Styela clava: one gene and its partners. The protein of the gene in region 1 purifies or fractionates together with the protein of each later gene. This does not show direct contact. Links are inferred from orthologs where the notes say so. Each region holds a gene or a part of one and is shown in the gene's direction. Other genes may lie near its edges. The genes, in order: importin subunit beta-1-like, nucleolar and spindle-associated protein 1-B-like, nuclear pore complex protein Nup50-like and regulator of chromosome condensation-like.

The links.
Region 2: the proteins of importin subunit beta-1-like (region 1) and nucleolar and spindle-associated protein 1-B-like purify together in Homo sapiens (affinity purification with mass spectrometry; 3 studies listed by BioGRID and IntAct, counting the BioPlex papers as one, with this or other methods). This does not show direct contact. The link is inferred for Styela clava from reciprocal best matches to the Homo sapiens genes KPNB1 and NUSAP1.
Region 3: the proteins of importin subunit beta-1-like (region 1) and nuclear pore complex protein Nup50-like purify together in Homo sapiens (affinity purification with mass spectrometry; 4 studies listed by BioGRID and IntAct, counting the BioPlex papers as one, with this or other methods). This does not show direct contact. The link is inferred for Styela clava from reciprocal best matches to the Homo sapiens genes KPNB1 and NUP50.
Region 4: the proteins of importin subunit beta-1-like (region 1) and regulator of chromosome condensation-like purify together in Homo sapiens (affinity purification with mass spectrometry; 3 studies listed by BioGRID and IntAct, counting the BioPlex papers as one, with this or other methods). This does not show direct contact. The link is inferred for Styela clava from reciprocal best matches to the Homo sapiens genes KPNB1 and RCC1.

Annotation. Positions count from the first base shown.
Region 1 is NC_135250.1:22,448,708-22,455,669, forward strand, and holds the start of importin subunit beta-1-like, read left to right. Parts: upstream 1-3,934; 5' UTR 3,935-4,054; coding exon 4,055-4,097; intron 4,098-4,642; coding exon 4,643-4,782; intron 4,783-5,203; coding exon 5,204-5,305; intron 5,306-5,732; coding exon 5,733-5,933; intron 5,934-6,962.
Region 2 is NC_135251.1:26,346,269-26,353,567, forward strand, and holds the start of nucleolar and spindle-associated protein 1-B-like, read left to right. Parts: upstream 1-4,289; 5' UTR 4,290-4,411; coding exon 4,412-4,495; intron 4,496-4,667; coding exon 4,668-4,775; intron 4,776-5,059; coding exon 5,060-5,140; intron 5,141-5,298; coding exon 5,299-5,391; intron 5,392-6,071; coding exon 6,072-6,242; intron 6,243-6,641; coding exon 6,642-6,768; intron 6,769-6,978; coding exon 6,979-7,111; intron 7,112-7,186; coding exon 7,187-7,299. UniProt on the Homo sapiens protein: Microtubule-associated protein with the capacity to bundle and stabilize microtubules. May associate with chromosomes and promote the organization of mitotic spindle microtubules around them.
Region 3 is NC_135252.1:2,763,345-2,770,247, reverse strand, and holds the start of nuclear pore complex protein Nup50-like, read left to right. Parts: upstream 1-3,880; 5' UTR 3,881-3,982; coding exon 3,983-4,153; intron 4,154-5,435; exon of another isoform or gene 5,436-5,895; intron 5,896-6,686; exon of another isoform or gene 6,687-6,903. UniProt on the Homo sapiens protein: Component of the nuclear pore complex that has a direct role in nuclear protein import. Actively displaces NLSs from importin-alpha, and facilitates disassembly of the importin-alpha:beta-cargo complex and importin recycling.
Region 4 is NC_135257.1:1,501,833-1,509,518, forward strand, and holds the start of regulator of chromosome condensation-like, read left to right. Parts: upstream 1-4,674; 5' UTR 4,675-4,717; coding exon 4,718-4,793; intron 4,794-4,999; coding exon 5,000-5,092; intron 5,093-5,409; coding exon 5,410-5,606; intron 5,607-5,862; coding exon 5,863-6,051; intron 6,052-6,315; coding exon 6,316-6,453; intron 6,454-6,858; coding exon 6,859-6,943; intron 6,944-7,686. UniProt on the Homo sapiens protein: Guanine-nucleotide releasing factor that promotes the exchange of Ran-bound GDP by GTP, and thereby plays an important role in RAN-mediated functions in nuclear import and mitosis.

The DNA of each region.
Region 1 (6,962 bases):
GAAAATCTTAAAGACTACTTTTCGTGCCCTTTGGTGTTGGATGGAATAGAAAATGAGGCAACGAAGCAATATGGTACGATTCCGGATCGTATGGCAATTATCTACAACGGTTGCTTAGAATATATCAGTGCGAAAGGACCTCTGGGATTTAAAGTGGATGAAATGCAAAAAGCTCTGAATAACATATTGCAACAATCTGAGTAGACATTAACGTGGTGTGATATCGTTCAAAACACTTATTATAGATTGATTGTGCGTCGATATGATAATGATCCCGAACCCTTTCTGACGACAAACCGACTCTGTTACGATGTTGAACTTTGACCCGTCTTAGTTTTTTAAAGAAATGAATCAAAGAAAATAGGGGTAGCCTAATAGTAATTTCCTTCTATATATACTACCAAAGCATCTTTCTCCCAGAATCATGATATAAACTTTCCAAATTTTCACGCTTAAAACTGATGACACCTATACGTTAAAATGCAGCAAGTTACAGTTATGTGCGAAATGTAAAACTAAAATTTTTTGCCCGTCGATTCCTTGGCATTAAAATTCATAGAGTTCGATCGAAACTAATGTTAGACCAACTGATCTACGTTATGTTATAGGTTAATAGAAGAAACAAAATATTTAAATACTTATTTTATTTTGTGTTTATCGGTTGGCGTAATTTATATCACTTCATATATATGGTCTATGTGTTTATTTTTGTACATAATTTATTAATAAAAATTATTCTATATATATAAAAAAATAAATAAAAAATACTGGCTAAACAGTAAATCTGCATTATCTCGAAATTAGGAGAATATCATATTAATTAAAACTTTTTAGTGGAAATGATACGAGAGAACCAAAAATTATGATTTTCATTAGTTTTTACCGAAATTGAGAACAATCCTTTTTTGACGACAGTCTGAACGGTCAAAAACCTTAATCTGTTCTATGTCATATTCTAAATTATTCTTCCTAAATAATTCTACAACTTCTTATTTATTTTTTCATTATAGAGTAAAGTGTTAATTACAAGAAATGGTATGTATAATAACAATAAATATGTTCAGAATTTATGACGGTACAGAAGAAAATTGCTGAGAGCAGATTTCTGTACCAGAGAGTTTTTCTGAACACGTTTGCTGTTGCTATACCAAGATCATTCCTACTACGCAATTGAAATATTTGTAATTTTAGTGAATTAAACTTATTCATTGCATCAATTTATTCAAATTAGTTGATTGGTGGAGGAAAACCACAGTATCGCCTGAAATTTCGTCATAACGTACCGTTGTTTTTAACAACTGATGGTGAGATGATCGCATGCTTGGTGAAATTTGCGAACGGCTTGCAAAAGCAATTTGGAACGTATTTTCAGGGCTAGTTGGCATAAAATTACGGCAATTAAGGCTACTTAGTGCAGTGGTTCTCAAACGTTTTAAGACGCGCTCTTTTTTGAGAATTTGTCAAGTCTCGCGCCCACCTCAAAAGTAACTAGCTAAAAATAAGCTGAAAATAACAGATAGTAAGACGAAAGTATGTTTTATTCAAAAACACGTTAAAATTACATGAATGGAACGTAAATATCCAGAATAAAGAAATGCGAATATTCAGAATAAGGCAGGCAAAATCAAATCTAACAAATGTTTTTATATTTAATTAGCTTCACGTCCCTCAAAAAATTGTCTATACCCTACTTGTGGGACGCGCACCATCGTTTAAGAACCACTGAGGGTCAGTGCGATTAATATGCTCAATATTTAGGAGCGCTTGGTTCAATTTTTCCACAGTAGCATCTTGTAGTATATATTTACGGTAGCATTTGTTTCTGCACCAAGGGAGAAGTGGTACTGGTCGAATAATCCTTCAAGATGGATGATTCCCCATCTTTGGCGCCAAACTGACAATTACTGGTTAAGAGTTTTATTAGTGATGGAATGACAGACTTTTGGGCGGTTTAAATTTCGTTATTGGCTCTATTTTCGCGATGGTGGATCGCAGTACTGGTTCTAAAACTTTCAAATTTGATCGATATCTTGATTTAACATAAGTTATTGTAAATTTTTTACAAGGATAAATAGAGAAAAAAGGAAGAAAAGTAACTATGGCTGGTTCCGACATTAATTGTTACCGGTACCGCAACCCACATCGAGCCCTTCCGCGACCCACTGGGGGATCGGGGCTCTCAGTTTGAAAGCCCCGTTTATTGCAATACATTTTTCTCCTATACACGTCCATACACATTGCTAATTTACCAAACACATACGACCTAATCACGCATCTGAGTTAGGTACGCTACCCTGCTCGGGGAAAATCATTTTGATTCCATGACGTCATGCTATGGTGGTGAAATGTTCGAATAAGGCGCGATGTGTGGCTTCCTGTACCAGTACCTCCACCAAAGCTTGTATTGTGGCCGGGTCATGCTTTCTGGTTGAGTTTTACATGGAAATTGTGCTATTCATCTTGTATTTAGAGTGGCCCTAGTAGAGTGAGGTACGCCTATTTTATGTAATGTGATAGAATACCGTACAATGCCTTGTGAACAGGTTTTAGCGTTTGCGAGTCACAAGGCAGCAAGACCAACTGGTGAATGCAGATGTTTTTGCTATCTCTGGATCTGGATGTGCCCTCCGTTTGCTGTTGTTTGTTCTACTGTTCTAGCCTATGTCAGAGGGACCAAAATAAAATTGATTGATTGATATCAAAATTGTTTAGACAAGAATTTGTAATGAATTAAATTGTATATTTTCATCCTTTCCAGACATTTAAAATACAGAAATGAGGCATTACCGGTATCGGATTGACTTGGTCATTATTAGCTTAAGCCTTGAGTGTTTTGAAAGTATAACATCCCAAAGTTTATTACAATCATGTATTTTGTTTGTTTATTTCTGCTCCAAGCCTGGTTTAACTAAGTTCTGAAGTTTGTGTTTTTGTCATTTTTTTGCGCAACTTCATTATACTGTATTATTACTGATATTGAGGGACAACAATGTCCAGACGTCTCCCAAAGTAGGGGTGTCTGATCATCGGTAAAATGGGTTTCTCTGAAACGGGACAATGTCACCCGATTTGTATAGTGTGCCCTACTGTATTTTGTTTTATTTGAAAGTTAAGCCTGTCTGCCTGTATGAGGCAATTGATTTAAAATTTCATGAATTTTCATCAAGATGGAAGAAGTCACTGGGAAGCGTTTTTGAAGGCATATCTGGATATAGAACCAAGTTTTTATCAAAAATTAAAGTTGAACATGTATTCTTTTGTAGCGCAAATGCCTCTATATTCCGGTATTTTGATATTGCTTGTTTGTCAATCTTTTAAGGCCAAATCTGCGCTTACCTTACTGCCGTATGGCACAGCTCTCCGATTCTAAGCACAGGAGCATAGCCTCACATTAATACACATCAATTATAACAGTGAATGCGAATCCCATTTTTATGAGACATCTATATATTTACGTGGTGTCTATATTGCCACAAATCAACTGTGCAATAAACTAAGAGGAAATGCAATCTAAAAACGTCACTATTCTGCTATTGGATTTGTCGAAAAACAAAATTATGATTACCAAAGGAAGAATATGTTACCATAGTCCATAGCATTCAAGAGTTTTTGGCAAAGGAACAATTTTGGTCAGATTGATTTAAAATATTATCGAGACAATCATGGAACGATCTGACGTGTCGTCGTGCCAGATGCCCTCGTATCAGAGTTAAATAGAGTGTTTTTTTTTATTGTTCCAAATGTGGGAGCATCTTGAAATCTGAGAACTGTGCCCTACTGTGTGTTGATGAGCAGCCTTTGTACCCGTTATGCAGTAGTTTCTATATATTTGAGAATAGCTCACCTAGGTATTACTAAAAGGTAGATGCATTTTCACCTACAAAAAAAATTGAAATCTTCGCTTATGGAGTTTCTGCTGCTGTGAGCTAAAAACTAAAGAATTTTGTTTCAGGATAATAGGATTTTGTAAATTTCAAGGGCTGGCATAGTTTTTTTTAGTTTATTTGCAACTCTGGAACTTCAATTTTAAGAATAAGCTTACAAACTCAGTAAAATGGCGACTCTTGTGGAAATCTTGGATAAGACTGTGTCACCGGGTAACTTTATTGCTATAAATATTATTTCTCTAATTAAGCTTGTATTTTGAATAATCGTTTTCATGAAATCATGGCTCGATGATTGGCGCAACATTCACTGTGTTAGGAACAAGCTTTCCATCGCATCTGTGATTAACTTGTGTGAATTCGAATGTTTGAATCTCATAGTTTTACGTGGGAGCCGGGAGAATTGCTGGACTCCTCACTTCCGTAGTGCTGTAGTGTAATTCACTTGACCACTGGTCAGTTACGGCTTTCCCACTATCGAGCTCATGCATCTGAAACAAATAACAGGTTATCTTTTTCCATATCTGACTTGTACAGGATGCGCCACATGATTAGTCGATATTACCACCTATCCTTCATTGCAGCAAATATGAAAATCGTATTCCTATCCTTTTTTGCAAATTTCTGAAATTTAATATTTACTGGTAATAGTAATAGTTTATATATATATACACCTGTGACAGAATTTAGAAAAAAAACCTGGGGAAATTTAGAATATAAAGGTTTTCATAAAGTATTGTATTCATATTCTTTTTCAGACCCAAATGATATTAAGCAGGCACAAGGATTTCTGGAACAAGCCGCACAAAGCAGTCTTGCGGAATTTCTGGTCAGCTTATGTCAAGTTTTGGCAAACCCTGGAAACAGCCAAGTTTCGAGAATGGCTGCTGGTCTGCAGGTGATTGTCAAATATTTTTTAGATTGCTGCGCACTAAAAAATCAAAAAACTGCGGCACACTTATCACATAATAAGTTTTCAAAATTGTACAATCCGCAGATGTTATTGATGAATGCACATTTTTCTGTTCATAAGCACACATTCATTTCGTCAATGTACCAAAATCTGCAAAGCCATGAATGTGAATTACAATTTACTTCTGATTGATGCTATATAACAGTCACACTAAACACTATTGCTACTCTGCTAATTCAAAAATATCCATGGCATCATAATGTTACATGTTACACAATTTGACATCCACTTTCATCGAGTGTATGTTTTAGATGAGTTGAATGCTCTCAACTTGAATCTGAAAAAAGTTTGATTAGATATTTGTTAATTTACATAAATTGTATCACCCTTCATTTATGTTTTCAAGATAAAAAATTATACAACTTCAAAAGACCAAACTGCCAGGCTCGATAATCAGAAACGTTGGCTGTCTCTAAATGAAGCAGCTCGATCAGAAGTTAAAAAACTGGTAAGTATGACCTTTACATTACCATAAGCATTTTCCAATGAGGTGATGGTTTTTATGTGAAATGTTTCAGGTGCTGAAAGCATAGTGTGAGATCTCTGTATGCAGTATGAAATAGAGTTCAATCAATTTATTGCTATTTCAGAATGTTTTTAAAAAAATAGAATAACATGGTTGTTGGGTCTCTTAATAAAAGGGGCCCAGGTCTTTTCCACTCATGATAAGTTGACACAATAAGGTCTTTTCCACTCATGATAAGTTGACACAATAAGGTCTTTTCCACTCATGATAAGTTGACACAATAAGGTCTTTTCCACTCATGATAAGTTGACACAATAAGGTCTTTTCCACTCATGATAAGTTGACACAATAAGGTCTTTTCCACTCATGATAAGTTGACACAATACTAATATTTATTGTAATATCTCAGGTTCTTCAAGCATTGGGCACAGAAACTAACAGACCTTCATCAGCGGCACAAGTAATTGCATCAATCGCATGTGCTGAAATACCTTTAGATGGATGGAAAGAGCTTATTCCTCAACTTGTGCAAAGTGTGACTGCAGAAACAAGCACTGAACATTTGAAGGAGGGAGCACTGGAGGCTATCGGATACATTTGTGCAGATATGGTAATGTGAATGAATATTTTCATGGCACTGTATACTGACATGCAATGCATGATGCCCAGTTGGCAAATTAGTAGTAAGCAACTGTATGGTTTAAGAACTTGTGACTCACAGAGAAAGCTATTGCATGTCATATTGGTGGTCCTGTTTCCTGGTGACTATTTATTACTACTGACAAATGTACTATTCTGTTGCTTGAAACAACATCATAGATCTGAATCATGGATATCTCGTTGCTGACACTATCTTGTCTATATTACATATGCTTATTGAAATATATATAAGGTTACAATCAAAATACTATGATTAGTCGTGCTGTGGTTAATAACAGGATGCTGAATTAGTGTTACAATTATTATTATGATCTGAACTTTCAGAATTTTTCCCTCAAATGTTTTCAGTCGATAAACATGGTTGGCTGTTAATAACTTTACAATCAGTGCACATACCAGACAAAAGAAAAGACATTTATGTGGAATTGAGTATTTTTATACCAATTTGTATATACTAACGTGTAATTTCATCTAATTGTAATCTAATTGTTCATCTTCATGTAATTTTTATATTTTTAGCAGCTCTTCGCTTTCTAGTGGTCAATTGTAACTTTGCTCAGCAATCAATCCTTTCAGTTCCTAAGTGAATGCATGTGACAACCGTGCTTTGAGCAAATTTCCTCAAAAAGAAAAAATCTTTTTTTCTTCAATCTGTATATCGTAATTAAAATTACAGTTTATTGTGGGTCATTTTTTCAACTACAGCTCCAAACTTTTAGGGAATGCAAATTTCAAAAAATAAACTGTGTTGTATGCAAGCTTCGCACAACGAATGTTTGGAACGCTTCGCACAACGAATGTTTGGAACGCTTCGCCAAATCAATTTTTTTGAGTTTCTATGTAAAAATTTTGATTTCCATCGCCACCAAGAAATGTCTCAAATTCTGACTAAATCAAAATCTGATAAAAACAAATCAAACTCGACTCCATGCCTCATATAGCTCTTTAGCTCTCGATGGAACACAAAATAATATTTGTC
Region 2 (7,299 bases), on another chromosome or scaffold:
TATCTCCATCACAAACAGCTGGATTGAAAAAGGGAGAAAAAAGGAAGAGAAAGACTCGAAAAATATAATTTTTCATTAATGACTATTAAATATGTAGACCTTGATAGAGTCGGCCCTTGACACAATTCGTTAATATGCCTAAGCAATAAACTTATTTTAATTGCATCAAGACATATACTAGCTTTTTTTCTCAGATATGCATGGCTATATTAAAAATGTAGTAGATGACATAGCCATTTTAGTAGGGACATAGCGGAAATAGCCATTTTAGTAGGGACATAGCCATTTTAGTAGGAAAATATCGGAGTCGCAATTTTAGATGGGACATAGCCATTTTAGTACGGACATAGTCATTTTAGTAGGAAAATATTGGAGTCGCAATTTTAGATGGGACATAGCCATTTTAGTGGGACATAGCCGTTTTAGTAGGAACATAGCGGACATAGTCATTTTAGTAGGAACATAGCGGACATAGTCAGAAAATATCGGAGTCGCAATTTTAGATGGGACATAGCCATTTTAGTAGGGATATAGCGGACATAGCCATTTTAGTAGGGACATAGTCATTTTAGTAGGAAAATATCGGAGTCGCAGTTTCAGATGGGACATAGCCATTTTAGTAGGGACATAGCCATTTTAGTAGAGACATAGCCATTTTAGTAGGGACATAGTCATTTTATTAGAAAAATATCGGAGTCGCAATTTTAGATGGGACATAGCCATTTTAGTAGGGACATAGCGGACATAGTCATTTTAGTAGGGACATAGTCATTTTAGTAGGAAAATATCGGAGTCGCAATTTTAGATGGGACATAGCCATTTTAGTAGGAAAATATCGGAGTCGCAATTTTAGATGGGACATAGCCATTTTAGTAGGGACATAGCGGACATAGCCATTTTAGTAGGGACATAGTCATTTTAGTAGGAAAATATCGGAGTCGCAATTTTAGATGGGACATAGCCATTTTAGTAGGGACATAGCCATTTTAGTAGGGACATAGCGGACATAGTCATTTTAGTAGGAAAATATCGGAGTCGCAATTTTAGATGGGACATAGCCATTTTAGTAGGGAAATAGCGGACATAGTCATTTTAGTAGGAAAATATCGGAGTCGCAATTTTAGATGGGACATAGCCATTTTAGTAGGGACATAGCGGACATAGTCATTTTAGTAGGGACATAGTCATTTTAGTAGGAAAATATCGGAGTCGCAATTTTAGATGGGACATAGCCATTTTAGTAGGGATATAGCGGACATAGCCATTTTAGTAAGGACATAGCGGACATAGTCATTTTAGTAGGAAAATATCGGAGTCGCAATTTTAGATGGGACATAGCCATTTTAGTAGGGACATAGCCGTTTTAGTGGGAAAATATCGGAGTCGCAATTTTAGATGGGACATAGCCATTTTAGTAGGGACATAGCCGTTTTAGTAGGAACATAGCGGACATAGTCATTTTAGTAGGAAAATATCGGAGTCGCAATTTTAGATGGGACATAGCCATTTTAGTAGGGATATAGCGGACATAGCCATTTTAGTAGGGACATAGTCATTTTAGTAGGGACATAGCGGACATAGTCATTTTAGTAGGAAAATATCGGAGTCGCAATTTTAGATGGGACATAGCCATTTTAGTAGGGACATAGCCATTTTAGTAGGGACATAGCGGACATAGTCATTTTAGTAGGAAAATATCGGAGTCGCAATTCTAGATGGGACATAGCCATTTTAGTAGGGACATAGCCATTTTAGTAGGGACATAGCGGACATATGGGACATAGCCATTTTATAACTACCCGGTACCGGTACCGTATACAAATTTTGCAGAGTTTTTCGAATATCTTCAGTCGTTTTTGATATCATAGATTTCAAATGTTTAAGCCAGTTTATATATAATCTGAATTAATTTTAGCAACACCGCACGGAAAATATCACAATTCTCATGATCATTAGAGCGTAACCATTGCACTAACCAATCATTCATCCGCGCGCTGTGCTTTGAATGCTTGTGGCTTTGTTGATATTTGGCTTTGGGGGTCGGGAGGTTTTGCTGGTTCCGTTAATTCTGCCATTGCAGCATTAGGATAGGATAGGATTTACATATTTATCCCGGGGGAGAGGAAAGCCGATAAGACGGCTTATCCATATGGCGAACCACGGCCTCTCGTCCGGTTACCATTCCAAGTCGGGTATGGGATTAGATTTACTGTATTGTTTGTTTTCGGAAGCATGGACTTGGTGGTGGAGGAAGCCGTAACCGACCAGCGGTTACGTGAACCACCCAACGACGGCGAGGAGTCCAGCAATCCTCTCGCACATAACCATCTCTGTCTGGGATTCGAACCTGCGAACCCACGCAGAGTAGTTAGAGGTGCGGTGGCGATCGTATTCCTAACGCTTAGCCCGTTGAGCCACACCGCCGCGCATTGCAAATGCAACACGAATTTTACTACATAACTTGAGCAATTGGAACACAGATTTATCATGGAATGTAAAGATAAATAGGAATGTAACTTGAATCCTATCAATGTCAGCATTTTGCATCTGATACCGTCAGACCGTACGGGCGTACGGTACAGCCGTAGACTAGTGCTGTAGTGATCCCGGTAAGTTAGATTGGTTAATAATATTAACTACAGAACTATATTAATAATACTGTAGTATAGGGCAGTAGGGGTGGATTTGCATATTAAAATAGAGTAAAAGCAATAACACGGCTCAATCATATGATATGGTGAAACACGGCCTGACGGCCTCTCATCTCCGATTTCAGGATTACCAATCCTGCAATCCATGTCCGGTACCAGTAGGTAGGTAGCCTAGTTAGGGTTTGCTTTTAAATGGGAAATTTTGACTATATTGGATAAAATGAATTATAAGAACATTAACAACTACGGTATGTTAATGCAGTAATGCCCATTCAAAAGTAAAAATGTGCGGAGTCATTTAAACACAAAACTCCAAATACATAAAAACCAAAGTGCATGAGAATAGTCACCACATTTAAAGACATCAATTTTAGTAATGAATAGAAACCCCGGGTCTCGTGTAGTTTCATACCTAACGTACTTCTAGTGGGCGTAGCATTAGCATATTATTTTATTATGTCACTGTGACATCGTAGTGACATAATTTTTGGATGGCGTAATCAGGTGGGGGTTAGGATTAACATATGCAAAAATTGTTATGATACGCTCACTAGAAGTACTTTAGGTACGAAACTACACTAGACCCCAAACCCCCCTATACGAGACAGTACGGACCTTCATATCGGCAAACCGACACTAGAAATAAACTAAAAGGAAGCGCAATCTAAAAACATCACCATTTAGTACGGCTCCTCATACAGCTCCTCATTGTCTCATTTCAGAGAATCCCATTTTGGCGATGAACAAACACTTCTTCTTTAAGTTGCACAAAAAACTACAAAGAAGTGCAATCTAAAAACATCATCATTGAATTCCTCAGGAAAAAATAATCCAAGTCACAAACGGAAAAATATTCTACCGTGGCATTCGTGAATTTAAAGCAAAAAGCGGCAATTTTGGTCACATGACTGCTGCAATTAATTTATATCATTATTGAGACAAACATGATGCGATATGACGTATCTGCTGTTGTACAGACACCCATCATTTGTGAGACACATGGAGTGTCTATTTTATCATTGAAGCAAATGACAGGACATTCTTGGAATTTAGAAAGTGTGCTGTACTGCCATTGAATTCCTTAGAAAAAATAATCCGATTCACTGAAGAACAGAAGGATAAATTATTTTACTGTTGCATTTGAGAGTTTTAAGCAAATAACCCCAATTTTATCGTGTGATGGGCCATGCACGCTATGATTGACTTAAATTATTATTGAGACAAGCATGGCGCGATCTAACGCATATGCTGTCACGCCAGACTCCGTCGTTTCAGAGACAAATAGAGTGTTATTTAACCAAATGTCAGTGTATTGCGGCCCCATTATAACAGAGAATAGTTTAGTGTACAAGACCTTGTTTGCCTATGTCACAATTGTTTGACTCGACAGAACACAGAGGTCTGATATTGATCGCCAATTTATTCAAAAAACTTGCAAAATAGGTTATGATAAGTTTTGCTTTGGCAAAAAAATTACCAACATTGGCTATTCAGGAGTATACTACAGGAAATGGATCTGTATAAAAAAAGTCTAAACTTAAATTTGCATGTATGAGAGCGAATAAACACTATTGTGTTTCATTTATTTAAACCACAGTTGGATTATTATACAAAAGAAATAGAATCAATATAATGTTTCTGTAAGAAATTTATTCACTTGTTTTTAGCTTACTTATTGTAGGCATATTTTTGAGTTTATTAAACACTGTCGTTTTTGGATTCTGGACGATTTATCAATCATCCTTCAAAGTCCAGTAGTCATGTTGTCCTCAGATTTAAAGTCAATGAAAAGAGCTGAATTACAGAAGCTGGCTAAAAAACATGGAATAAAAGCAAATTTGAAGGTAATTTGTTTATTCTTATCGCTTGTTATCATAATCCAAATGATAATTTATTTTATAGTATCTGTGATAAGCCCTTAAAATGAAAAACAATCAAAATTTATTCATGATAATTGGTGATTTCAATTTTAGATTATATTTTTATACCAATAATTACTTTTTTTTTATTTTGCAGACTGATGGAATTATTGCAGCGTTGCAGTCAGTATTCGATGCAGAAAAAGAAAATGCAAAAACACCTGATACTTCACTGGTAGCACAATCAAAAACACCAGTTAATGTGGTATAACATTATGACAAAGTTAATTTGAGTTCGTTTTCGTGTCATGTTCAATGTATTTCTTTTTAGCATTAGCCTTTATGGTCTTAATGACATTATCAAATTGTGTTTATATTAATAATAGGATGGGACTGATATTTATCTTGCATTCTCTGCAGGATTATTTGCAAAATATAAAGATTTATAAGATATTTCCATCTCTCTAATATATCTTAATGAAGTGCATTACTGTATTACCATAACCTATGAGTATTGTTGTGTTATATTTTATTATTTTTCTATTTTAGTTTCCAACTCCGCCATTAGACGAAGCAGAAGATTTGTTCTCAGTCAAACCACCATGGAATAATAGCGACTTAATGTCTTTTGTGAGAACAGTTTATTATATTTTTCTTTCATCAGAAAAACACGATATTGTGTAATTATTAATCATAATTTGGTTCTATTTTTCTAGGTTATCTAGGTTTTTATATTTAATTTTCGAATCAAATGCAACTGCAACTATACAGTCTATGTGTCTTCACAGGACTCTACCCCAGAACAAGATAGCAAGAATGACAAATCTTTGGAAGCAATTCCTGAAACTGGAACAAGAACAAGAAGTTCATCTGGGAAGAGGGTGAGATTACTTGTTTGTATTATTTTCTTTTTCAATCACAGTTGTACCCTTAAATGCCAACTATCCAATAAACTTTTCCAAGGATGTCAAAAACGAATCAAATATTCAGATCATTCCGAATGTTTTGGCAAGGAACTGTGCTGTATGACTATTCATCAGTAAACAAGGGATATTCATATAGTCTTTTATAGAAATTAGGGCGCTCCAGAAGTGTGTGTACCAACATGGGGGTAACTAATTTTGTTCGCCTACTTTACATCAAGTTGTGTAAAGAGACGGAAGCTAGGCTATGGGCACGGGCAATATTCACTTTACTAACACAGACAGTCTCCGAACTTGTAATAGAACCAAAATAACGAAAAACTGAATAAAATTATTGTAACTTAACTGGTACACACACTACGGGTGTGTCGAAATTAGAGCTATCTTTTGAAATTTTAGACTGTTTTTGCATAATTTACCATATTTTTACAAGTTTTTAAGATTGAAATTTATCGGAGAAGAAAGATCTTGATTGCCTGGAAGGGGACATTTTTATTCCAAACCTCATTTTTCAAATTTCAGTTTACTTTGTGTAATAAATAACCAATATAAAATTAGAATAACAGCTAATATTTTGCTCTCTCTGAATATGATTTTGGAGCTTCCAAGATATATTTTATGTATTCTTTTTGTCCTAGACCCCCAAAATAGCTAATGAATCGAAAGATTTTGCAACAAAGACATACAGCGTTGAAAGGGTTAAAACAAAATCAAGAACCGGTCGATCAAACAAAGTTGCTCCCACTTCTGGCAAGAAAACAGCTAAAGTTTTGAAGCGTCGATCTTCAAATGCAGTTGAAACCATACAGGTTAGGTCGTTTTCTGGAACAAGGTATTGACACTTGACAGTCATCGACCTATCATGCAATTGTTTATGAAGTGTTTTACATTTGTTAACCAGCAAGTATCAGGTTTTGCATTACCTACTACTAAATTTATTACCCATCAATGTGTTATTTTGAAAATAGGATGGGAATAAGATATGCTGACTTGTCATATGATATAATTATAAACACACTTTTTATTAAAAAAAATTTAATTAGAACTAATTTTTGCAATAAAAATGTATTCGAAATTTCAATGTTTCCCCGTTTGTTTCAAAACCTGTGGAATACTAAATATGACGTTAGAGTATTTTATCGAATATAGTTCTTTTTATTGACTGATGTACATTCTAGTTTTAAACCATTTTATATATAATCCAAAAGGCTAAAAAACCGAGGAAGAGTGGATCAAATACTGACCAAGAATCTGTAGATGAAAAAAGTGAAGCAATCGACATTGATCTTCAGAATGAAATTATGAATGAAATAAGAAAAAAAATTGATGCAACAGGTATGCATGAGCCTTCCTCTCACATCTCGACTCATTCCACATGTGCATAACAAGGTGTTATATTATATGCATATAGTAGCCTACTATGGAAAAAGGCCATTAAAATTTTATATGGCTCTTTGCTGTTTTTTATAACATATTATCCCCATTATTTTGAGAACTTCCATGCCGCACCGACACAAAGTTCTGTTTTTTTGTTCAATTAACCAGATGAAAAAAGTAAATATGGTGGCAGTGATTCTTTTGCAAGTAGAATTCCAAGATTTACTGCATCAGGTGTTACTATCGGAACAAGCAAGCCTATTACACCTGGAAATAAAGACTGGAATAAACTACACAATAAGTAGGTGTCATATCTGAATTTATATATATTGTACGCAATCTAATATCAATTCTTGAATTTAAAATTCTATTTTAGAAAATTCGATAAACTGGAATCCATTGATGATTATGAGCGAAGAAAAAAAGTGCGAGCAGAAAGATTACTCGGTTCCAACAAGAAAAACAATGCAAGTCTGAGCAAACTGGCAC
Region 3 (6,903 bases), on another chromosome or scaffold:
CTATTTGCCCTTCCGCATCGCTTACTTACCAATACTATCTCCAAATTTCTTCACCTGACACAAACTTAAATTCTCCTAATTGAGGCATCAATTACACCAACATGTGTTTAATCCAGATTGCGTTAAAATCTAAAAGTTCGTTGTCAAAATAAGAAGGATTAACATTGGAAATTTTAGTACGACTGGTCCACCATAGCGAAAAATACGTTGAAAGTAAAATACAAAATTAATGAAATATACAACTTGTGGACTGGTTCAATACCAATGAATTGTAACATATATATTTTTTAAGTCCTTATGTTCCAAGATCTTAAACATTTGGTGTGATTCAGGCAGCATTCGGTGACTGCATTTTACTTGCCATGTGTGCGTAAAGTTCCATTGATCTCGATTGGAAAAGAAATATAATATTTGCTTTTATATAAAACATCATGCCTTCCCATGTAGTCTGGTATGCGGCTACCTTCGATCTGTTGTCTTAGCAAGTTCTAGACTAATTCCGATTTGCTATTTTGTGTTTCACGTAAAGCTCATGGACCGTCTAAAATGTTTCTGTAAAACTTTGTTTTATCACCATAATTCTACGGTATCAAAGTTTCAGTATCTGTTAGCATTTCAGTGGTCGCCTGAAAGAGATGAGTCTGCTTCACTTCTGAGTAAGAACGAAAGGCCCAGCTTTAATGTTCGATTTCGATACGATATATTATATACGATACATGACACGCATGTAATATACTTAATGTGCTTAACCGTATTCGGGTTACAATTTTTAGAACATTCTTCCATTTACTACTTCTGCTCCTGTATACATGTAATCTATACCCGTGTAATCTATACATGGAGGCTTGGCCAGTTAAAGTTAGCGTTGTGATGATCAGGTGACAAGATTTTTGCGATTCCAAACCACAACTATCTCATGAAATAGCCAAAGCAGAAGATATAGGCATATCAGATAATATACGAATAGGTGGCATCGTTATCAGAAACTTTCCCCGGGCAACAGAACCGTATGCAGTATGGGATCAGATGTGCGTATGTGCCAATTTTCAAGGTGGAAATATCTATGAGTGCAAATTTTGGTGGGTACAAAAGTATACAGGTGCGATTTACGTGAGTAAATAAATTTACATGGGTGCAAATGTGCCGTCACCTGATATACTTTTCGAGAGTTCGCCCTTATTATTTACCTGAGTCAATTTCATCATTTTATTGAAGCCGGAATGGCATTGAATATTAATCTTATCCCTTATGCTTATAGTGTTGAATAAGACGGGCTTTATAGCAGCTAACAATTGTTCATTGAAGTTTCGGATAAACTAATAACATACAATAATATTGACATACATACAACAATAAAGTAGCAAATATCGTGTTAACATCGCAGAAAGACGGAATATTGTATTATGTTATTTGCCGTGACACTGTCCTGTACACTTGTTTTTATGATGACAAATACCCTCCATAATGTGTTTTCTGCGTGTGATAGTTGCGAAAAGGAGGAGAGAGAATTTATTTTTAATTTATAGATAATTTCGTCAATATTTTTTCGTCAAACCAGAAAGCACATAATAAATAAGAATAAAATACGAGAATTAAAAGTTTTCGATGACCATTCGAAATATGTATGAAAGTCGGATTTTCACTATTGAAAAGAATAACCACTTTCCTTTCAAAGTCTGAAAGCTCTTTCCTGCCTTCCTCCACAATATGGGTTTCAAAATAGAAATCGAATAAAACCTGACCAGTATGGATGTTTCCTTCACCCCTGGAAGATTCTCCCTATATTCACGTTGTTATTGCCAAATATTCAGCTCTGATTTTGCGAGTGGTTTGGAGAGTTGGCGCTCACAAACTCGCTCACATGTTCAAATCTATCATTTCTATTCAAACATAACAAACTTATTGCTGATTTGTAATTGTTACGGAAATAAACAAGAAATGATGCTCGGGGTAACATTCATCAACCTGAAATAAATAAAAACGTATCGAAAAAGAAACGAGAATATCGGTCAGAGACCGAAGACTTATCGATCGAAAGTTAGGGTACCCCCAAAACAGCGCTCTTACTTCATAGTGACGCCTTGCGTCCCATCACTAATTAATTAATAACTCGCAAATTATACGACATAATTCATCCAAAATCAATAGGCTTCTGGTACGACATATGATGAATGCACATGCAAAATCTGGTGCAGATTCAATCTCGCTTTTGTGAGATATCGCGTGCATCTAACAGACAGACATACAGACAAACAAATACCTATCAACATACTTACCTATTAAAATCGATACGTAATGAGTTAGCACGCATTTTATTCGTAATCTCATCTGACCTTCAAATTTCCTGCTTTTCTAGCGACCACCCTGGCAGGGGTCGGCAACCTTTTGTCGCGCGCTCGCTATTTTCAGAAAGTTGAAAAAACGAACGAATGATACTTTTCACGATAAAAAATGAAATCAAGAAGGAATACATTTCTCGAATTGAATATAGATTGATTTCATCATTGCATTGCATCCGAAAAAATTTCATTCGAATATTTTCAGCGCCATTGAACCCTTTGCACTTAGCATCAACTTTGCGTTTTGTTGCCATTCGTCTATAAGCTCATTAAACGAGGTTTTGTGGAATATATACTTGTTAGGGTATAATATAATTTAGTTTAGCCTACACGTGTCTCACAATAAATTCTGTTACGTAAAAAATATAACCGTCATAACAGCCGTTTTGTTACTTAAATTCAGTGAAGCGTCGAGGGCTGGATTATTATTACTCCACGGGCCGGATCTGTTTTGAAATTTGAAGCAAAATTTAGTAAACTAGTGTTTACTTGGGCAGTACAATTGTTAGGTTGCAATCATACGCACATCCCAGTTAAGTCATAGATAACGTTACACACCAGGGAAGTCATAGATAAAACATCCACCATGTAAATGTAAGCGGTACCATGCGTAAAAATTAAGCGTGCAATATTATGAAATGTCTAATCATGGTTTGGCAAGGAAGAAAACTGTGAATATATTTTTACAATACTGTATATTATAATACGATATTCTACACAATTTAGAGATGTAGGTTTTAAAATTTTGATAAAAATGAAAATATTGGTAGATTAAAGAGTATACGGTTGGACATGTACATGGCACAAATATTTTCAAACTGGGGAGAACCAGGTATAAATACACTCTTATACATGACATATCCACACCAGTATCCATTTGAAAATAGATTTGCCTTCATAATTAATATTTGGATATGATTTGTTTCATGAACTCAGATTTAAATTTTTTATAAGAGAAGGTTTTGAAAATGTCAGGAATATCATTTCAAATTTTGAGCCCAATGATTCTGATTAAATATTGAGCTAAATTTGAGTTTATTCGAGGATTGAAAAACGCTCCTTTGGAAGCAGAACGAATGCCATGTGAATGCACAGAACCACAGTCGGTAAAAATACGAATTGAAGGCTTTAGTTTATTGCTAACATTACAAAGATATAGTTTTGTTGAAAAATTAAATTTTTCATTTATCACAATACAAATTTTCTTCAATCAATGCCGATTTTTTTCTATTTATATTTAAATTTATTATTACAATAAACGCGTCCCGAAGTTATTTTGTGGCAAGAATTTTGAAGAATCATTCCTCAACCACGCATTCACAGGTAGTGTTACTTTTAATTTAAACTATATATTTACTTTATCCTACTCTAATATTTACAAATAGGCCTAACGTTATATGAAACTAAGACTTACAAAATATAAAATGAATTTATTCTTTTATTGTCCCGATAGTGATTTCGAACTTTTTTAGATGCCTCGATATTCTCGTGGCATATGCCTCCACTAGAAGCCAGATGTGCCTCATATATGTGCCTTATTGAAGATACAGTATTTCGTTCCTCAGCAGGGTTATTTTGGTCACTTGCACGTTACTTGCTCAATTCTGCGATTCGTGAATGAGTGAACTAGGTCTAGCGCCACGATGTCGAAGCGTGTCGCTGATAAATACTTAACAGACCAAAATTGGGACAAGGAAGATGAGGTTGATGATGACGATAACTCTGGAACATTCAAGACAGCGGATAATGATGTTTTGCAAACCCGTGTTATTCGAAAAGCAAAGCGTAGGATTGTTGGTAGCAGTCAACAATCGGTGAGTGTTGCAAATAACAGAATAATTACTAAATGGTGTTGTGTTGTATAGTTATGCTAAACCAGGATAACATAATAATTCAGTAGACTAATTTTATCATTTTACTCTATTATAGCCTAGTTTAAGGGTGGAGATCAAAAACCTCACTTAACTTAAACTTGGATTAAGACTAATCTCGGGTTAGTTAAACTCGGTTTAACTTCGATAGTTAACCGGTGATCAAAAACCTAGTTTAGCGGTTACTTAACTAATCGTGGTTTAAGTCCGACGCCACGAGGCATTTCATTAAAACGTCGTGGCATGTTGCTCTTTGACCCCGTATTCCCATGGCGATGACAACGCGAACCCAATTTTGTTGTAATTTGCTGTCTTTGCAAAGTCGGTTTTTGATGTATTTCGTTGATATTGCCGAAGCAAAACAATCTGGGCGGTAGAACTACGAAGAGCTGACGCGCATCACACGAAATATCGAAATAATAACACTTTATCATAAATAGAATTCTTCCCACTACTGGTACAGTCTACAACTACAACAGGGTCGGCTAACCATTTTGGTCTAAGGGCCACATGTAATTCATTAATAATTGCGCGGGCCAATTGACATGTTAGTTATGATCTAGTTTTGCTACACTACTACAGGTTAATAATAAAAAAATACCCTCACATCGATTTTTCACAATTATTAGAACAATAAAACTGTTGTTTTCCAAACATTGACGGGTCATCATCAGTGGTTATTCCCGAAAGTTTAGCCAAAGACAAGACGCTTAATCATTTTTATCACAGCTGTCGAACAAATCAATGCTTCTAGTCAAACCCTTAACAGGGGCAATGGCTGCGGTCTCCACGGTAATTTTATATCATCATTAACTACCCGCAAAAAGATAGCAAGTCACCAACTGAGCAGTAAACTTAATGTCAGCGCTTCCTCAAGCGCCAAGGAATACAATAAAAAATATCCCGCTTTTGCGATTAAAATTCTCGCGATAGAATTCCCAAGCTCTTCAACAAGACGAGTTATGGTCTGTCTTGACAGGCTATTTTTGCAAACACCTAGAAATGCTTCTACATATGGCCCGATGGCCACGAGTTGGACGACCCTGGTCTACAACACCAATTGAATCTAACATTTTCTCCTAAACCTCAGCGTAACAACAAACAGACTTCAATTATAGAACCCACATCCTACTTAGAGTGAAAACAGACGAAATGAACACACTTCAGCTGAAAACCTATCCCTGGCAAGTTCTGGGCCACAGGCTTCTACATATTTAACATAATATTATTTTGAAAATTTGTATTGCAAAAATAACTAATATTCATTTGTTCAAATGACTGCTAAAATGTACTGACATTCAAGAAATGGAAAAAGTATAGAATCAATTCGGAAGAGGTGCTAAATTTTATCCTGGCTCTACAGCTTTGAGACAGATGCACACAGACACAGGTGCAATCATAGTTGTTGCTTTCGTTGCTATTTAAAAGTTTTATTTATTTCTTCTGCGAAAGACTCGCCAAGTGACGAAAAATCGACATAATTACTTTTGCTTCAAATGTTTTAGCATGCAAGAATAATTTGTTTGTTAAGCTTAAGTTAACCGGGTTCCACATATTTGTTGGACACAAAGGCGGGTTCCACATATTTGTTGGACACGAAGTCGTAAAATAAAGCACTGCTGCAATCTTGACTTGACAACACTTTTACTATAATCCTATCCATAACAGTTGTTTGTCTTCATGACCTGAACAGTATAAATGAAAATACAGGGTTAAAGATAGTATATTGATGAAGTGCGCTAGATATTAAAGAACCAAATTCGACCTAGGCAATGACTAAAACCGAATAATTTGTATTCGAATTTGTACAGATTTTTTTGTATTCTGAAATGATATTTTTGAATTACATAAAATCCAATGTATATTTAATTATATGAATTTGGAAAAGTAAAACAGTAGAGTATTTTTAGTTTTCAGATATTAAATGAAGGCTCTTTTGTCTTCGATTGTGATTGCATGTCGAACAACTTTGCTCTACTCTAAAATCATGTGACACTAGTTTTGCCTGCATGTAACAAGAAATGACTAATGGGAATGATTTTGAAAAGTTTGTCACATCTCGGTTACTTGAACATATCTGGGACAATACCAATAAGAAATTTACCTTGATGAAAGTATCCTCACAGGTTCCATTACATTTGAACCCACGTACATTTGAACCCATGACAATTGCACCTGTATGCTATTGCACCTATGGAATTTTTTTTGTTTCACGGATAGTTAAACCCATACTAACCCTAACCCATGGGTTTTAGCACCCGCATATAGATTGAACCCGTGGATAGACGCATGGGTTCAAATGTACATGGGTTCAAATGTACGGTCACCATCCTCACATTATACGAATAATACAGATTATACACACAAACTAAAAATAATTTTCATTTAACAGCTGATACTAAAGAAGCTGATACGAACGTGAATTTAGGACAGTTTACATACAAATAATATGACATTTAAATAGTGACAAACTCACAAATTTGCTCTACCAATAGAGCTGATGAAATTGATCATCATCATGGCACTCAGACAGTTTACTTGATTTGAAACAGCTGTAGAAATAAATGAAAAATCAGAAAACAATGTTACATTAAAGAAATGTTATGATAGCATGAACCTTTGCATTCATGATAAGTTATTGGCAATATATAGTTATCAATATACTCATTTCTGCAATCTAGCATTTGGTGAAA
Region 4 (7,686 bases), on another chromosome or scaffold:
ACAGTTGGTTGTGTGTTCACACAGAATAAGAAACCTGTGTCATAAATAAATCACTCGTATGTAAAACAAATATGCCTCAACGAAAAAATAGACGGACCTCGATCTTTGGTGAACGAAAAAAAAACATGGCGGCGATCCAAAATTTTCGTCTGGACCGATTCCAAAAATTCACTATTCGATTTAAAATGCCAAGCTCTGTTTGCAATCTTAAAAATTAAACGCATAGCAAGATTCATCATCAACATGATTTTCATTTTCTAGATCATACTTTGCTTTCACGCATGAACTTCAAGAAGGAGACAGGGTCGAAGACTAGTACGCCATTTTGTAGGATTCTCCTCTGTGTGCTTCTCCCCTGTAGAATCAGAATTACTTTTATTTCGTACAAAATCCAATCCATATCCTACTGCAAATACTTGTCTCATTCGACATACAAGAATTGCAATAAAATAACCGCAGGAGATTTTACAACGATTTACACCAATTTCATGAGCGATTGAAAATATTTTTTTCAAGCGACAAATGCATTCTATTTTCCAATGCTTTGTATAAATCAGAAGTCCGACTTTTTGTATTGAATACAACTTGGTCTGTTCTGCAAGTTAAGACTTTAAACTGTCATCAAAAAAGCTTTAAAATAGCGGATTGGGTAAGAGCAACTCCTAAAGTTGCGTGTAATATATAACCAGGGGAGTGACTAGGTGGTGACCAGAACGTTATGGGGCGAGGTTGTTGCTTAGTTTGATGATTAAAATAATGATAATACAAACATTCAACTCTTACTTGACCTTTGATTGATTCATTCTCATGTATACCACTGTATCTATAATTTGTTTATCCCTCTTATTATTTTTGAAGTTAGGTATAAGGGGAGAAACTCGCCCCGCGTAGCAGAAAAGTTTGACACGCCCCTGCATGTGAAGCAAGCCATTTTCTGTGGCGCATTCGTATTACAGCATGTATTTTTATCTAATGCCTTCAATACCTGTCCCAGTGAATGCAAGATACGAGACCCATTTCTTGATTTTCAATAAATTACGCAAATATTCTACAAAATTGAAAAATAGATAAAATATAATATTTTAAACTCTAAGCAGTGTGTGTGCTAAATGCATGTCTTGTTTCTTCAATTTAGTTGTTTAAATAAACATTTGTGGGCGATTCTCCATGAATTGTACGACCTCTTAGCAAAATAAAGAAAGTGAAATAGTTCCCGAAAATTGATATCGCCATCCCATAATTTCATGATGCTGTTTGTCAACAATTACCAAAGCAATGTAAAGCATTCAAGCATTGTTCCAGAACTATACTGTTTGTCTGTTAGACACTTTCGTATGTTACGCGATATCTCGCGAAAGCGAGGTTGAATCTGCTCTAAATTTTGCATGTGCATTCATCATATCTCGGACTAGAAGCCTATTTTGGATGAATTATGTTGCATAATTAGCGAATTATCAATTAATTAGTGATGTGACACACGGTGTCACTATGGAGTAAGAGCGAATGATGCAAAACCGCAGTTTCTGTTTTGGAGATCCCCTAACATTCGATCGATGGGCTTCGGTCTCCGACCGATATTCTCGTTTATATATTTGTTTCATTTTGTGACTCCTTCTGAGATAATCAGTATTGTTTTCCCCGTCTCTCATCACCATTTTGTTTTATTGTACATTGTGTAAGTCTATGTAGGCCTACTGAGCGTATCTTATATGCGGTTTAAAAATTTTAAAATTTGTAGCAAGGCTACGTCGGGGGACAAAAAGACATCTATACCTGAATTTAGGTAACGCAATCAAAAATTGACAAATAACCAACAAAACCACGAAAGCAATCCAACGTTTACTCCCAAGCTCCAGCGCCGAAGGCCTGTTTGGGTGGGAAAAGCTTTTCTGTGTGGCCGGTAATTTGAATTGGCACGCCACAATTGACATTTTGCTGATTAGTTAATGATAAAGAAGTAGACGAGTGAGTCGATGCTCAGAAAAAAACATCGATTCCTTAACCCGTAATGAATCCCTTATATTAAAAATATTGTTTTTTGGACATGTGGGTGACCTATGGAGGCGCAGTTCTTACCACTTCATGGCAGCTCTTGCCACGAGCGTACCCCGCTGTCTCCTGCCATGGTGTTGTGGCGCTATTACCGGTGTATTTACTAAGTCATGTACAATATTTTAGTTTATCATGCCAAATTATATCTACTTAAATCTAAACCTAACCCCAAATTCACCCAAACTGTATCCATAAGAAAAACGTTCCAACTTACCCAATATTTATCACCATCAGGGGCAGCCTTGCTATTACAGACACCTCAATGATTACAGCCGACATGCTGTGGTTACGGCAGCAAAATTGGCGGCATTCGATTTGCTGCCGTTACGACCATTGAGGTGATACACCCAAAGTGTAGTCACTTTGGATACACCTCAATGGTTACGACGGCAGCTCGCTGTTGGTTTGTGGCATTACACCTCAGTGGTTTGTGGCAGATAAAAAGTCAGTCGCCGTGGGTTTGGTCATAGCGGTTATGGTTGGGATATCTCGCCCATTGAGGTGTATATACCCACAATGATCTCGCCATGGTTTTGCGGCACTTCTAGACGCCACGAAATACTTGAAACTGCACTTGACCTATGGATCGTTTTCATGTTTTTGGTAATCTTGTTCTTGTTGGACTTCATCTTTGTATCGTTTTTTAAAAAATCGCTTCTCTCCTTTATTACTAAACCAATTGCTTTAAAATTTTTAAAGAGTAAAGATTATATTTTTAGCTAGAAGGCTTACTTTTATTTATCGTTTTTTTTGTGTGCTATAACGCCATCAAAATTTGCCCTTATGTGGCGTCACGTGTCCATATATTTGAGCATAGCTCTCTTGTTTTATTTTGTGCTAGATTCAGCCTCCAGAAATATTCATTTATATACCTTATTTATACAACTCAATGACCTATCCGTAGTAGTATATATTTACGCCTTATCATATCATAAGTCAAATGTGACAAAATATTTTTTTTCTCTGACGTCCGGACGTAAAGTCTTATTTTTTCTGCTGAAAATCTGTCAAAATGACATCGGTGTACCGGTATGAGATGTGCATTTTAATTGCGGGAATGTACCACTGCTGCACTGCGTGATTCGCGGGACGACGCTTGAGCGCCTGTGGTAATTATAGCACTTCTGAAGATAAGAGGCTCGAGAACAAACAATAATCAACAATAGAACCGGTGCGTAATACCCAGACTGGATTCCATGGCAGGTGCACGCCCGAGGGCGCTAGCGCTCCGCAAAAATGCTCGCGAGCGAAATCAATTTTGCACGCCGAAAATTTGCAATTGCTCACCAATGTAAATCGGTTTAAATGGTTTTAAAATCAATAATCCAGTAATATAAAGATGCCAAAATATTATACCTCCACAATTGTCGACAAATACCAGCTTGCAAGATTTGGTCTGATCGAAATATTGCGAAGCAAAAAGACCATGGAGTATGGACCTTTCCCCAACCTTTGACCCGCGAAAAATTCCTCTCATTGTTACATCCTTTTTTGCATCTTGCTGATTGGCCAATGTCACGAAGTAAACAAGGAAGTCGATGCTCGGGGAAAGGTCCATATCGTGTTGAATGATAGGAAATAGGAATCCCGTGAGAATAGTTATGGACGAAAAGATCGCCTCCGCACCAATGGCCAAGTACGGCTCTGATTCAGCGTATTTTTCATACAATAATTTTACACGAATGTACTGAACAGTACCGGTATCTAAAGTTGCTCAAACACTCCCAAAATTAGTGACAAAGTATGAAAATAATGTTTGGGGTCAAAGATCAAACGTCCATTTTGCTCTAATTTGACGTATTTTTTATCCATTAATTCTACGTAAAAACACTACCAAAATTAATGACAAAGTATGTCCATTTTGCTCTGGTTCAACGTATTTTTTATCCAATAATTTTACGCGGATGTACTGAACAGTACCGGTATCCAAAGTCGCACAAACACTCTCAAAATTAGCGACAAACTGTAGAAATAATGTTTGGGGTCAAAGGTCAAACGTCCATTTTTTCTCTGATTCAACGTATTTTTTATCCGATACCGGTAATTTTACGCGGATGTATTGAGAGGTATCTGATGTCAAAGTCAGTTGCACGCGAGTGCAGTTGTTTTGCACGTCGTGAGCTATAATTGCACGCCAGGAATTCTTATTTGCACGCGGGAATTTCTGATTGCACGCCCGATTTCTCGTTCAAAAAGGCCATGAAATCCAGACTGGCGTAATACTGATAAACCGTTCCAGCATTCCCGTCTCCAGATTGCATTTTACTAAGTAAATCCAATAGTATTCGCAATACCAGAATGCAGTAATACGACTTGCAGAATATTTTAAACTGTCGTAGTTAAGCTACGGTAGGTGTTAATCACTGACTTATGAAGGCAGTTTTTAATGGTCAGTTGACTGTTTATGGTAGCGACTGTGGTACCTATACGTCTGTACGTAGCCTACAACCTACGGTACTACATACCGTAATAACTCTAATTCTGGTGAGAATGAATCGGTACTTGTAGCTAAGTTAGACTATAGCCCAACTGTTTTTTAAAGTTCTAAAAGACAAAGTACCGTACTGCGCTGCCCAGGACAGTATTAAGCTTATCTTATAACGGGATATTATCAAACTTTAGATTGTTACCGGTAGACTATAACTGTAATTGTTTTGAAAAGAAAATGGTTCGCAAATTATCAACTAAAGATGTGGGTAAAACTGAAGAACCAAAGAAATCTCGAGGGAGACCAAGGAAAAGTGAGGCTATTTGTATTTTTTAACCAAGTCCTGAAGTTGAATTTTTTCTATGGCAAAAACCTATTTTCAGATTTTATTCTATAACCAGATAACAATTTTCAGATTTTTGAGAGAAAGTACTCAAAAATCACACCATAGTTTATTATGACTGTATGGTGGTACAGTAGGAACAATATTTTATTAAAATTTTTTGCAATTTTTACCAGTTTCTGCAGTTGAGAAAGGCTCAAACTCTGGGAAGCGTAAACTCAGTAAATCCGTTTCTGAGGAACCAAGAATAAAACAGAAGAAGATAGAAGGTAATAATATTTATTCCTATATATATATCACAGATAACATAGACCACATGCTGATATGAGATACTGGCTGTATTTGAATCGACACCTCTGTAGCCTATATAAAACTTTGATAAAATATATTGGTTACAAAAAAGTTTTAGGCATGAGTGAATGACTGGTCCTTTGAATTTTGCATCCATTAGATCACCAATTTTTATATGTGTAATAAATATAAGTTGGTAGAAATGCTCATATTTTTCATTCCACTTTTTTTTCAAAAGTACATTGTAGCAACAAAACGATATTTTGTAGTCTGACACTCTACTTTTGACTTTCAGTTCCCAATTTATTTGAATTGGCTTCTGTGGGAGTAGCTCTAACATTGGGACAAGGAGATACAGGCCAACTGGGACTAGGAGAAGATATAATGGAACGAAAAAAGCCTGCTTTGGTGAGAGGAGAACTTGATGGAAAAAAGATCAAGAAAATTATTGGCGGAGGAATGCACACTGTTTGTTTGACTGACGATCATAAGGTATAGCTAAAAATCATATATATATACCGTAACTCTGAAAGTCTGAATATGACTTGAAACTGAAGAAGGTTGTTGGACACTCCAGTTAAAAGTTATTTGCACCATGGTTGATCAGTTATTTCGAACTACCTTGCAATCTACCTTGCCTGAGTTAAATGAAAAATTCTATCCTCTGCTATTTTAATATTGTCGGTTTCTCACTCACATGTTATTTATATAATTTTGGACATTAACACCCATGGATTTATAATCGTAGGTTTACTCATTCGGTTGCAATGATGAGGGGGCATTAGGAAGATTAACATCTGACGATTCAGAAGGATTTGAACCTAAAATTGTCGGTGGAAGTTTAGAAGGAGTAAAAGTAATTGATATATCTGCTGGTGATAGTCACTGTGCTGCTTTATCAGAAGATGGAAATGTATTTTTATGGGGCTGTTTTCGAGTAAGTATAAAAAATTATTTTAATTTATTATTTTTAAACAAAGACAACTGCAGAACAAGCAGGTATTAGGTAGCCTATGTTATAGGATTCTGAAAACATATAGGACTCTGAAAACATAGACGCTAATTTTTGTTCGGTGCAAATTTAATTGGGCCCCAATTGTTCATAAAAATTAATGATCATGTCGAATCTTTTCAATCGAGTTTATAAATTTCTTGTGATTACAAGATTTAGGATGTTTCATTTTTGTTCAATTGTTTTCAGGATAATCACGGCAGACTGGGTTTAGCTAAGGAATGGGAAAAGTGTGGCGAGCCAATCAAATTAGACCAAATTCAAAATTGTGTTGTAGCAATTGCCTCTGGATGTGACCATGTTGCAATGATCACTGACGAGGGAAAGGTTTGTCATTTCAAATTTTCTCTAATATTCATTCAGTTGAACCTTTGTATCTTCAGAACTAAATCTGTTGAAAGCAAATTGAATTTTTTCAATTTATCTGGAAATCGTGGGTTCGTTTGTTTCACGAGTTGAGTATTTGCCAATGTACATCAATTAACTTTAACATTCTCTCGTTCAAACCCTAAGTGTAATGAATTAAGTAGGGCAATATTAAGTAAGGCAATGCCTAAGCAGCCTAATTTGATCTTGCACTGTGAAGTTATGTTACGTTATGTAGGCATTCAATTTTCATAGACAGCAAAAATATTATTTCTTTGCTTGTGTGCTTATTCATTAGAAAAAATGCATGCTACTTTTTTTGAGACATATTACCGGTTTTCAAACTAATATTACAATACTTCACAGGTATTTACATTAGGTTGTGGTGAGCAAGGACAACTTGGAAGATTGAGTAAATACGCATTAAGTAGAGGTGGAAGGAAAAGTGCAGGTAAGAATGAAGTGATACAATATGATAAATTAGTCATTGATTGCTAACAATCTTAGACCCAAGCACCCATATATAATCATCATCACCAAAATGCTCACTGTCATTATTGAGATAGCAAATATGACGGAATCTCTTCATGAATTAGTGTAATAGCAACTTTCATCTAGTCCACCGCAATCTCTATGAAGCCTTATTGTGACCCACCAGGGGAGGGGTCAGGACACCCAGTTTAAGAAACCAAATCTAGTCTTAAGTCTGTCAGACTCAAACAGAGGTTCCTCGTCCAAGTTACAAGTAGAGCTAGGAAAGCAGATTATTTACTTACCAAGTTCAATGTTCCAAATTGATGGTCATGGCAGACTTCTAGATAAATTTAATAATACAGAGAAGTGAGAGAACAGAATAATAATAATATTCTACAGATGAAGTCTCATCTTCTAGTACTACAGCAAATCCAGAAGTACCCATGCCAAGAAGCAGTTTGCGTGAAAGATTAAGTTTTGCAGGTATAATGCGGTTTTACAGTTGAGATGGTTTTATCTTTACAAAAGATTTGTCATAAAATGTGATTTGGATATCGACTTAGAAAATTACTATATGAGTTGAATGGTAGTTCATTAGAACAGTCTGAATCTGAATATTTTGCTTGAATGCAGAGCTAATGGTTATAAATCCCTTGGACAGCAAGATTCAGGTTTAAAGGATAGTTTCTGATTGATTTCTGTAGATTTAATACAAAGATA